Styela clava: one gene and its partner. The protein of the gene in region 2 binds, or shares a complex with, the protein of the main gene of each other region. Links are inferred from orthologs where the notes say so. Each region holds a gene or a part of one and is shown on either strand. Other genes may lie near its edges.

Region 1 (6,003 bases), on a different chromosome or scaffold from region 2:
AACAGATAGTAAGGCGAAAGTATGTTGCTTTATCCAAAAAATACGTGAATGGAAAATGAATGAAAAGTTTTAAAATGTAAGTCTAAAAAAAAATTGTCTGCGATTCCACGCAATTGATGCATCCATAATTATACTCAAAAATACATATTCATGTAAAATTTGACCAATACCACACTTGATCAAGTGTGCAACATGTCCGAAATTCTATTTAACTTTAAACGCCTATATGTTATTGCCTATTCGCCCTATTGTGTATACGCGAATATTTTAGTAATTTTTCTTTCTTTCCGTGGAAATTTAATGTTGTTTTTGGACACACCTAAAATATGTTAAAACATATCTGAAGCATTTTTTATTCATGTTTATTGATATTAATGTTGGGTGGTAACTAGGGCTGGGCATTTTCGAATACCTGATGATTTCAGAATCGAATCGTATAATTTTTTCGAATCGAATCTCGAATACTTGAAAGGTATGAAATTGTATGTAACTTTCTTATTATTTTAGGTCCTCCAGACACATAAATTACTGGAAACATAGAATACATCCCTGACAATAAAAAAAAAAACGTTTCCATCAATACCTCAATACAGAAAAGAGTCATATGTCAGAATTGTGTTGAAAAAATATGGCTTCAATGAATTGAGAAATTTACCTCGACCATTGGCGGCAAGAGTAAAACAAGATTGCGGCGATTCGAAAATTTACTATTCGATTCGAAATGCCCAGCCCCAGTGGTAACAGACTCCGATGACCGCATGGTCGTATCGTTGCCACCCAGTCTATACCGAGAACTGTTTCGCTTTTTATTAATCATGTTTTTGTTGTGTATATGTTTTCTGGTGGACAAAACAAATAAACTCTCCCTCTACGCCCCTCTTGTGGAGCGCGCTTCACCGTTTGTCCAGAGCCATTATACAATGGCTCTGGTTTGACAACCACTGGTCTATACGAATCGCTTGTTATCCGGCGATATATCCATGTGCAGCTTTGCCCCACCGTTGCTCCATTATATCCACGAATTAAAACTACTCGGACTAGTATTAATACCTCATGAAAAGCTGCAGTATCTTGTAATATGTCTGAATCACCTCTTATAACATATAGAAATAAACTCGTAACTCGGTCCAACAAATAATTTACTTGAACAAATTGAAAAAGAACACCATGACTGCTCAATTGAAATTCATTGGCTTAAAGTTAATAACCCCGCCTCTAATATAGTATTTTGGGCACTCTCGTAGTGTGTGTACCAGGTTGGGGGTTAGGCCATAATTTACACAACTTGATGTAAAGTCGGCGAATAAGTTACCTCCATATTGGTACACACACTTCTGGAGCGCCGTATTTCATTCCATAGAAATAAAACTTACGTAGCCTACACTCTACAGCCCTACAATATTGCGCTCCCACGGCAGACTAGAATCATACAGGGAATAAACAGCCCGAAAGTTTAATATATTTGCGTATTTTTTCCAAGTCTCGTTTAACCGTAAATATATACTAATACGGTTTAATTCAACTAGGTTTGTGATTTTAACGTGTGTGTGCTGGTGAGCGGACACATGATATTTCTCGTTTTTTTTAAATTGTTTTGAGGGTTGTGCTCGCTTTCCAAAATTCGCCATTTTAAATTTGCGTGTAATTTCTATCTATGTGATTCGACAATCGTCATATTTTCGTTTCCCGGGGTATGTACGCAATCATGAAAACTTTTCCTATTTTGATAACAGCAAGGTAAATGACCTTGTAAATGGAATATATGTCGAATGTAACAACTACACATAGGTTTATAAATGGTTCATGTTTCAAATTATCAATACTGAATATATAAAATTGTGTATGATTAACTTTATTTATTCAAATGGAAAAAAAGTCATTGAGAAATCAGCGTTCGCTGACTTCGCTCGTTGGGTACGACGCAGACAGAAGAAATTCAGGAATCCGCTTGGTTGACCGCAATTTATCTCGATTGAGTGCGGCTGTGTCCAAAGCCCGTATACCGGTATTAGTTGTGTCTGCATTGACTCCTCTCGTTATGTCAATCGTGCCAAGTGAAGCTTCTGTGGAGGAGGATTTGCCTGATATAAATTTCAATATCCAGCTTGTTGAAAGTTCGAACAAAAGGGAAGACAAACGTCACCTTCCCGAAAATAAACAGGACAACGAAGATGGTAATTTATCGCAACGTGCTGAGGTGGAAGTTACGAAATGGAACGAGCCACAAGAACTCAGAACAGGCTCATCTGGCGCTGAAAATATCACGCCTGACAATTTATGTATAGATCGTGACGAAAGCGCTAAAATATCATCGCATTTAGACTTGAACACTTCTACACACCTGACAAATGTCGTTCGTGATAAATACCAAGACAACATGAAAAAAACTGAGTCGGGAGTTACAGAAGAATTGAAGAAAAATAATTGTAAAGTGAAGGAACTTGGAGATAGTTCGGAAATTTTTGATAATGTTGCAAATAACAATGCCAAGAAACATGTAGAAGATATCAATATTGAAAATGAACATGAAGGTATTCCACAAAGACAATCAAATGTAGATGATATTGAACTTGTAGATGTCACCAATGCCACTTTATTTAGTGAACGTATTTGTGACAAGGCAGAGAATGGTAATGAAAGCCTTAAATTGCTTAGTAAAAGTGATGAAAAAGAGACTCAAGATGAAGAAGAAAATTCAATACTCGAACAGAAGTTGAGAGAAAATATGAATGATAATTTAGCAAGGGATTGTATATTGGAACCTTTGTCATTTCCGGAAAAAGCATCCTTGCTTAATCAAATCACATCAGGTGAGGAAAAATTTCATCTTGTTTTCGAGACAGACTGTAGTCCCGAGGATACTCCTTGCGTACTATGTGCAAATGTTTATAAGGACATTGATCAAAAGTCACAATATGATGAATATTTATGCCATCTTGTGGTGGAACATAAATTGGTTATTGCAGATGTAAAACTTATTGCAAATTTAAGAGAATACGCAATATATTGGAAAAAGCGCTTCACTGAAAAACCGATTGAAGAATTTTGTGCTTCTATTAATACAAATATGAGCCCTAAAGATGTTGGTGAGAGTGAAAAATATTATTTATTATGTGATGCATTACCTGAAGATAGAAAAGTTCGCGAAGCACTACAACTCAAAAGATTAAAAGATCTCATTGAAGTACAAACAAAAGAACGTGAAAATGAAGAATTTGAAAGAATGTGCTTATTTTGTACAAAATTATTTATTGGAAATCGTAATGAGCTATTCAACCATATGAATGAAGATCACAATTTCAATGTTGGACATCCTCACAATTTGATATATGTTGAAGATTTTCTCGATGAGATTGAGAAAAAGTTGAGTAGTCTTGAGTGTCTCTTTTGTGACAAAGTATTCAAGGATCGTGCCTCATTACGAGAACATATGAGAAAAAAGTCTCACCGTCGACTGAATCCAAAGAATAAACTTTACGATAAATACTACATTATAAACTATCTTGAACTTGGTAAAAATTGGGAAGTTTTGCAAAGTGAGCCAGATCAGTTGGAAGGGAATGATGATTGGACTGGTTGGGAAGATGAAGGACAAACCGCAGTTTGTTTTTTCTGCACATCTTCATTCAATACACAAGATCGTGTTTTCGAGCATATGAAAAGAGTTCATGGATTCGATTTTCCTGAAATGCGCATGACAATGAACCTGAGCTTCTATCAACAAGTTAAGATGGTTAATTACATAAGACGTACAGTCCATCAGTTACGACAAAGAGAGAAACAAGAAAAGATTGACAACGTCGAGAATGATTCGGATAGTTCTCTTACATTAATTGATGCAATCACTAAAAGTGTAAAGGACTGTATATTGTCATCAACCAAATGGAATCAGCCTCAGTATTATTTTCCAACATATGAAAATGATACTTTACTATGTCAGCTTGAAGATAAAGAAGGCCTGTATGAACCTGAAGATAATTTCATTATTGGAGAAGATGGGATTGACTGTAAAGCAATAATTAATGAGAGCGTTCTTACTGATTTGGTTGTGAGGGGTTATTTTGACTGATTTTTTTTTCCTGACGTTTTTGATCATGAATTTTCGTGTTTTCAAATCTTTATTTTTTTCTTTTGTATATGCATTTTTTGGTTTTTACTACTTTATTGCATATTTTTTGGGGGGATTGTTTAAAAATTTCCATTGGTGCTATTTTTGACTGACATACTTTTGGTTTTTTTCGGACTCTTACATGCGTTTTGGGCTCGCCGATGTTTGAACTGCTTATTGTAAATTCGTAATTTGTATATTTTCTGTAAATTTGCCAAGTCACTGTCTTGTAAAATTGCCAAAATGTAGAATAAATACATTTATCATTACATTCTAGGTATAATTGAACTGAAGGTATGATACAGTATTTACTGAATACAACGCTCACCTGTAACTTTCATCATTATTTTTTTTGTGAGAGCATTTGACCTTGCGTAGAGCAAATTTCTTTAAAAAAAAGTTACATTCACTCATCTTTACAATGCACCTTTGTTTTAAAGATTTGGTGTCATTTCCTTTCAGATTTGTAGATAGCTTATAATATCTGTCTTTATGAAATGAATGCTCCACCAGCATTTGAAGCTTTTTTACTTTTTGATGGAGAAAAGAAAATCCAAATAACCAAGGACACGAAAGTGCCAAATGCTGCACATTTTACAATTAATAAAGAAGACCACACACTTGGAAATCTGCTCAGGATGCAATTGTTAAAAGATCCGAAAGTACTCTTCGCTGGATATAAAATACCTCATCCTCTCGAATCGAAATTCATTTTGCGAGTGCAAACAACAGCAGACTACACACCACAAGAAGCATTCACTAATGCTATTACAGATCTTATTAGTGAAATTTCATTACTTGAGGAACGATTCAAGGTTGCAGTGAGAGAAAAACAAGAGGGTATTGAATAAGTTGATTGTAGCAATGTACAACCTCTTGCAACGGCTTCGTTAAGTACCCTTATATGCAAGTTATTTTGCATTTTCTGCTGACAGCAGGTACTGCTGCACCTGACTGTGATATTGGATTAGAGCTAGTCTGGAATTTTTACCCATCCAAATTAAAGATTGACATGACTGTATGTTTTAAGTGCCAACTATCCAAAACACTCTCAAAATAGGCATTAAAAATTTTGCTATAGCAAAGAGTGGGGAAAATTTCTCAGGGGTCAAAGGTCGGGAAACATCCAACAATTTACTCATCTCGACTGAGCACGTATGGGTTTGTGTATACTGGTGTTACCATATTTTACACTGCAGTTTATGAGTTGCTTGTTAAATCCTGTCTACCTACATAAGTGGATGCCTAGCAATAACAATCTTTCGTTGAATATTGATGGTCACTACGCACTGGGCTTCATCACCTACCAAATAATATTCTGCCAACAAGTTTACTATATCAATTTAGAATATATTGCTTTTAATAAAGACATGGAATACACTTGATTGTATTAATGAAAAATCAATAGTTAGTAAAGTGAAAATTACAATTACTAGGTTCTACAGTGGAATCTAAAATGTCATGAGTACAATATGCTTGTTGTGGTAGTATAGAAAAATGTCATGCAATAACAGTAAAGAGCAAATAAAAAAAAAACATTGTGAAGGCCTGTCTGTTCCCAGGGATGCCAAGAATGTTTTGAATTGGGAAGATATTTATTACAAATAGCAAATGGTTAAAATATGAAGTGGGGTTTATGATATGTTCTGGGTTAGGATAATATTTTTTTAAAAGTTTAGAGCAGTGGCCTGCAAACTGCTACACCTGCAAACAAATTTTTTTTTTGTAGCTCTCTAACAAATTCACTTGTAATTCATAAAAAAGTTGCTCACAAATTTATTATTTGCTCATGGATATATGTCGTAACACGGAGTTTGTTTTGTAGTAATTATCCAATAGCCCTACTGTTTAGTTGAAATTAATACAGAAATAGAAGTCGCAGGTGATTGTGTATT
Region 2 (6,946 bases):
GACTGGATAAGCCTCGAATGTAGAATTTGGTCGTTGCATGAAAACATAATACATCGAACTATCTCCTATTCCACCTTCTTTCTTACCGTCAAAATCTTTTGTGACCGATATCATTTTCTGCAACAAATAATATCACATGTTGATCCAAAAAAACACAATTTCAATATCATAAAAATGGAGATGATTGATTTATCACTTGAACTCCTTCCTGTTTGTATGGTTGTACCCAAAAGTTTCAGTACTCTAGAACGCTTTGCACATATTCTGTCTAGAATATGTTCCAAATGACTTGGGTTCTGTTTTTCTGGGTCCTTTTGTACTTATTATTAAAATTCAATTACAAGCCCCAAACAAGCTAACCTAGTTGAGCGAAAGTAATAATGAGACAGTATTGTTATGTAAAAGAACTATTGGCTTACCTATTTTTCAACCCAGAGTTTCCTCTTTTCACCTACACTAAGTTTATCTCATTATTGAGTAAATACAGAAATGAAAGTTAATCCAACGAGATTTATGCAACAAAAAATGAATTCAGAAAGTTGTTTCATTACCCATATAAAAAGATTGAAAATTCACATGTATTAAAATTAAACAACCCGTGCTTTATAACAAGTTATAGGTATCAGGTTCGAACTAACTAGTTGAAGCATAATACTACCAAGTTCCAAATAGCAATCATTTCAACTCTGGTCACTCACAACTCTTCGACTAGACTGAGTTAGTTGTTGGCTCAATACCTCAATACCCTGTTCTGTTCTGATGATATTTGTATAAAAATAAAGAGCCTTGTTTGGAGCAAACATAAAATTTTAATAAATTTTGAGCGGTTGAATGAAATATCTATTATTGCAGTCATACCTCTTTGTTTTTATTTTTGGGGGAATACGGTGCTTTAGCAGTTGTGGTGACAGAAAGTTGCCATGGTTGATCTTCTACTTTAAATTTTGATACCCTCATCCCATATTTGAGTTTACGAGCCTGAAATATTAGCAACATCAAAAATATGATAAAATTTAATAGCGTGAACCACATTTTGGAACGATTAGGTCGTTGAACACAATGCTTGGAATATGAATGATGTTTAGTATGTCAAAACACTACTTCCATATTTTAAGCTATACATTTTTGATTGTAGTTCTTTCTTTCAAATATTTAATAATCGTATTATAAAATTTTGTTAAATTCTGTGCTTAGTAGTTGGGAGTATTTGTGTGATTATGATGATATCCAGCAATCCAGGTTTATATTTTATTTCGCCCACAACTGTGGAGTCAGATTTGAGAGTTTGAGCTTGGCATAGTCGGGAGAAAAAGTCAAAATTTGGAATCCTCTGGAGCTGTAAGTCGAAATTTCATACTTACAGTAAATATTTAATAATAATAGTCAAATTCAAAACTTTTTTTGTAAACTCAAAAAGCATCAAGTTTGCTGAGCATTCTTAACAGCCTGTAAGCGAGGCATGCATATGCCAATGCTTTTGTTTTCAAAATTTGGTTTTGTTCCAGTTCCAGAGTCGAAATTTTTTATGATCTAGAGTTGAGAGACAAAACTGTAAGTTAGAGGAGTCAAAAGTCAAAATCTGGTTCAAATTTTTCACAAGTCGGGAGTCGATTGTAAATTTCCTCGATTCCACAGGCCTTGTTTAGCATAGTACTCTAATTTGGGGGCTCCCGAAGTATGCGAACCAAGATGGCGGACATCGGAATGTAATATGTGTACTATGTTAGAGTTAGGCCATAATTTTAGGTATAAATACTACGGGAGGCTCTTGGCTAGTCTTCGAACTGATAATAGGACTAAAATAAGGAAAATTGGAAAAAAATTATCGCCTAACCCTAACCTGTTACCCATGTTACGTTCCGATGTCCGCCATCTTGGTTCGCATACTTCGGGAGCACCCTAATTTGAGTAAAAAATAAAAATTATTACTTGCTCTTTTTGCTTCCTTCCATATTCGCTTCCAGCTCCAAACTCGGGATAAACCTCTTCTTCTTGAAAAATCTTTTTTCCTCTCATATTTCTCGATATCCGGGCACCGGTCCATTTCTGAAAAAGAATGGAGAAACTGTCGTTAATATTAAATTTACATCGGTGGATAGAGTTATTAGCTAGAACTAGAAGTTAAAAGGTTGTTTAACAAAGTACCCTACGAATAAATATTCAAGACAGCCCAATTTCTTACAACTGAGTTTGTAGCCAAATAGTGACATTTGAGAAAATTTTCTTTTCAGCATCAACTAGTACATTTCATTGAAGCATCATAGTGGATGTGATGGCCTAATGATTGATGGAAAACTGGAGCAATACTGACACCACTGGGTTCAAAATCAATATTCAGCACCTCAACTCTGGTAGGATACATTGAGTAAGTAGTGGAAAATCAGAAAGATTTCCATTCGTTAAAAATATTAGCTTCCCATTTATCAATAGCTGCTTGTAGAACTTTATTCTTGGAGTGGAGGGTAGTACAAGTCTCGTGAAAAATCAGTTTTATTATAACAAAGTAATCAACTCAATTGGTTGAAATTATCCAACAGAGTGGTATTTACAGGGTGAACCCCCCAAAAACAGAATCCAAAAACCTTCTCAAAAATTAAAACTTGAACCTTTGCTTATGATGGTACACATAATTTTCAGTAATCTAGGATGATTTACACGAAGGTTGTGTTTTTTTGGAATATGTTCCAAATGACCTGGGTTCCGTTATTTGGGTCATCCTGTATAAATAAACACTTCCAACCTCAAGCTGGCATAAAAAATATTATGACAATGTTATAAATATTGTACCTGTATATCCATATTGTCACCTCCTCCAAACCTCATGACATTATACTTTTTTGTTGTATTTTTTGGAACTTTAACAATGTATTCATCAAAATGTCCTTGACCAGGAGTACTGGGAGTGGCCATGTTAAATATTTTAAAGGATAGTTTTCTGCAAAGCGAAGATATTGAACACACAAAATTACAGATATAATTTGAAAATATTGTATTCATTAATACTAACATAAAATTCATTGCTAACACTTGAACTTAAAAGAATGTGATTGCATATTAATAATAATCTCATACATGAGCTTAATTCAACACACTAATACAGAAGCAATAACACTCAAGTATTGATAACAGCAGCACTTCTAGAGGTAAAATGTATGATGCAGCATATTTTTAATTTCTACCTTTAGGCATAAGAATTTGAGAAATTACATTTCAATAGTATTATGCTTTACAAAAATGCACCAGAGTAAATTATAATTCGAGCCCACGATTTAGAACATTTGGTAACTCGTCTAGAGTATAATACTTGTGGGTAATGTCTTTCGACTTTACATTGACGACTCTCAATCCAGATTTATCTTCACCAAGTTGGGCACCTATTGCAGAATTTACAACACTTTCTATTGTCAGGTTCGTTCCATTTACCACATTAGACCACTTTCCACCAGAATTTCTATGATAATGACCACTGAAGACAATTTTAACTCCAGCCTCCATGAATTCGTCTAGAAGATCCATTCTTAATGATCGTGGTATATTGAAATAATCATCATCTTCATCTCCATGTTTCGAGAATATAGGAATGTGCATAAGAATGACAATATTATCAAGGTCTTCATCGGATTTTGCCTGTTGAAGCTCATTTTTAAGCCAATCCGATTGTGCTTGTGCCAGATCTTGTACTTCTGATGAATCATAAAAGTATTGACTGTTAAGTGCAATGTAGAGAACACCTCCACAATAAAATTTATAATAATCATCTCCCCATATCTGTTTAAACTCTTCTATTGAATTTCTGGTGGGTGTGTTTAGTAAGTCATGATTTCCACTGATAACCATTGTAGGAATCTGCATATTTGCAAGGCTTTCATTAACGTCATCAATCTGCTGTTGCCTATAAGGTTCGACTCCTGGAAAGGCATTAACTAAATCCCCACTAATGAAGAAGAATTTTGGTTTATTTTGAATGTCATCAATATCTGATACAGCTTTATTTAAGCGTCGAATATCTTCTACCCAAACAGTACCATCTCCCCCAGTAATCTGGTCAATAAGGCCAGGTTGAGGATCTGCTCCTTGTATGAACGTGTATGGAGCAGTCCATTTACCTTGATCCGATTTGGTGAATCCGGCCACCTCACGATTTTTTGCTTTCAAAAGCTGGCTGTTACTTTGTTGCAAAACACATGCAAGTACAGTCAAATATAACTGATGAACCAATTTCATCATCTTGGTCGCTATAAAATCAAGTGAGTGTCAAGTACTAAAATAATGAAGCCTACAGTCTTCAATCTGTCAATTGCCAAACTGAACATAAAACTGTAAAAGTATTACTGTATTGTAGTGCCTGATGAGAACTATGCCAGAACAGGTTGAACATTGTGAAAATGAAGTTATGTCAATTATTTTAGCATTTTTTACGACTTTCACGATAATAGGAGAAGTCTAGTGGTTCTAATACCGGGCTGTGGTCATGTTAGATATTTTATAAGATAGTTTTCTGCAAAGCAAGAAAAGCAAAGATAGTGAACACCCAAAATTACAGATATAATTTGGAAATATTGCATTCATTGTTACTAACATAACACTTGAACTTGAAAAGAATTATAAACTTAGGTGATTGCATATTAATAATAATCTCATACATAAGGTTAGTTCAACACAACAATACAATATAATTTGGAAATATTGCATCCTTGATACTAACATAAAATAAAATTCATTGCTAACACTTGAACTGGAAAAGAATTATAAACTAACGTGATTGCACATTGATAATAATCTCATACATAAAGTTAATTCAACACACCAATACAATATAATTTAAAATATTGCATTCATTGATACTAACATAAAATAAAATTCATTGCTAACACTTGAACTTGAAATGAATTATAAACTAACGTGATTGCACATTGATAATAATCTCATTCATAAAGTTAATTCAACACACCAATACAATATAATTTAAAATATTGCATTTATTGATACTAACATAAAATAAAATTCATTGCTAACACTTGAACTTGAAAAAAATTATAAGCTAACATGATTGCACATCAATAATAATCTCATACATAAGCTTAATTCAACACACCAATACTAAAGCAATTTAACACTTGAGTATTAATAACAGCAGAATTCAGGTAAAACGTATATTGCAGAATATTTTTAGTTTCTACCTATAGGCATAAGAATTCAAGAAAGTACAATTCAATAGTATTATGGTGATTGCTTTAGAATTCAAGTATAATTCAAGCCCATGATTTAAAGCATCTGGTAATTCGTCTAGCGTGTAATACTTGTGAGTAATGTCCTTCGACTCTACGTTGACAACTCTCAATCCAGATTTATCTTCACCAAGTTGGGCACCTATTGCAGAATTCACAACACTTTCTATTGTCAGGTTCGTTCCATTTACCACATTAGACCACTTTCCACCAGCATTTCTATGATAATGACCACTGAAGACAATTTTAACTCCAGCCTCCATGAATTTGTCAAGAAGATCCATTCTCAATGATCGAGGTATATTGAAATAAGCATCATCATCTTCATCTCCATGTTTCAAGAATAAAGGAATGTGCATGAGAATGACTATATTATCAAGGTCTTCATCCAATTTGGCCTGTTGAAGCTCATTTTGAAGCCAATCCGATTGAGCTTGTGCTAGATCTTGTACTTCTGATGAATCATAAAAGTATTGACTGTTAAGTGCAATGTAGAGAACACCTCCACAATAAAATTTATAATAATCATCTCCCCATATCTGTTTAAACTCTTCTATCGAATTTCTAGTGGGTGTATTCAGTATGTCATGATTTCCACTGATAACCAAAGTAGGTATCTGCAAATCTGCAAGGCTTTCATTAACGTCATCAATCTGCTGTTGCCTATAAGGTTCAACTCCTGGAAAGGCATCAACTAGATCCCCACTAATGAAGAAGAACTTTGGTTTATCCTTAATATCATTAATATCTGATACAGCTTCATTCAAGCGTCGAATATCTTCTGCCCAAACAGTACCATTACCCCCAGAAATCGTGTCAATAAGGCCAGGTTGAGGATCTGTTCCTTGTATGAACGTGTATGGAGCAATCCATTTATCTTGATCCGATTTGGTGAATCCGGCCACCTCACGATTTTTTGCTTTCAAAAGCTGGCTGTTACTTTGTTGCAAAAGACATGCAATTACAGTCAAATATAACTGATGAACTAATTTCATATTAATCACTACAAAATCAGGCACCAAAATAATAGAAAAACCTTCAAAAAAGTTTAAAACATGAGTATGATCATGTGCCCGCTCAAAAGCACAAACACAAAAAAACATAAACCTGCTGTACTTCTAAAACACTTAGATACCGTAAGCGATGAAATGCAATGTGATAAAGTGACAATACAGTTAACGTTAGTCAAAAGCCAGAACTGCAGCAAGCCATGAAAATCGAAAAAGGATTGAGCATTGCTAAAATCTAAAATAAAGTCTGAAAGTGGTTAGGGAAATTTCAGTGTAAATTTATGGGATTTCGATAAAGGAGTTGTCATACAATAATAGTAAAACACTGTTAGTTATCGTGTATCCAGTATACACTAAAAAAATAGTTAAGGTATTCAAGGCGCATGTGCGAATAAAACAACTCTGCACCTGCAGACTTTAGGACTTGTGGTACTACCATAGTTTACTTACGGTAGTATAGTTCGCTCAAGCCTTTTTCGTCTTTGTTTATTTATGTTACACAGTTCTCTCGATACGATTGAGTGATGCGTCACTATACTGTATTCTCTCAACGCGATATTTTAATATTATGCTGGTTTAGCTGTCAATAATGTTTTTGCAGATTCAGACGACGAGTTGGAATAAATGAATGAGCTTTTTTATGATCTGTTTACATTTTCCAAAACGTGGTCAACTTTTCCATGTACTGTACTTCGTTTTGGTATTTTT

Evidence for each region. The genes of interacting proteins can lie anywhere in the genome.
Region 1: general transcription factor IIF subunit 1-like (region 2) and DNA-directed RNA polymerase II subunit RPB11-a share a complex: the UniProt entries of both Homo sapiens proteins name them as parts of the TBP-based Pol II pre-initiation complex. The link is inferred for Styela clava from reciprocal best matches to the Homo sapiens genes GTF2F1 and POLR2J.

The regions. Positions count from the first base shown.
Region 1 is NC_135253.1:16,308,798-16,314,800, reverse strand, and holds DNA-directed RNA polymerase II subunit RPB11-a, read left to right. Parts: upstream 1-4,590; 5' UTR 4,591-4,605; coding exon 4,606-4,959; 3' UTR 4,960-5,488; downstream 5,489-6,003. Other genes in the region: zinc finger protein 277-like, read left to right, coding at 1,865-4,069. UniProt on the Homo sapiens protein: Core component of RNA polymerase II (Pol II), a DNA-dependent RNA polymerase which synthesizes mRNA precursors and many functional non-coding RNAs using the four ribonucleoside triphosphates as substrates.
Region 2 is NC_135256.1:18,128,568-18,135,513, reverse strand, and holds the start of general transcription factor IIF subunit 1-like, read right to left. Parts: upstream 3,019-6,946; coding exon 2,788-3,018; intron 2,047-2,787; coding exon 1,930-2,046; intron 979-1,929; coding exon 859-978; intron 118-858; coding exon 1-117. UniProt on the Homo sapiens protein: TFIIF is a general transcription initiation factor that binds to RNA polymerase II and helps to recruit it to the initiation complex in collaboration with TFIIB. It promotes transcription elongation.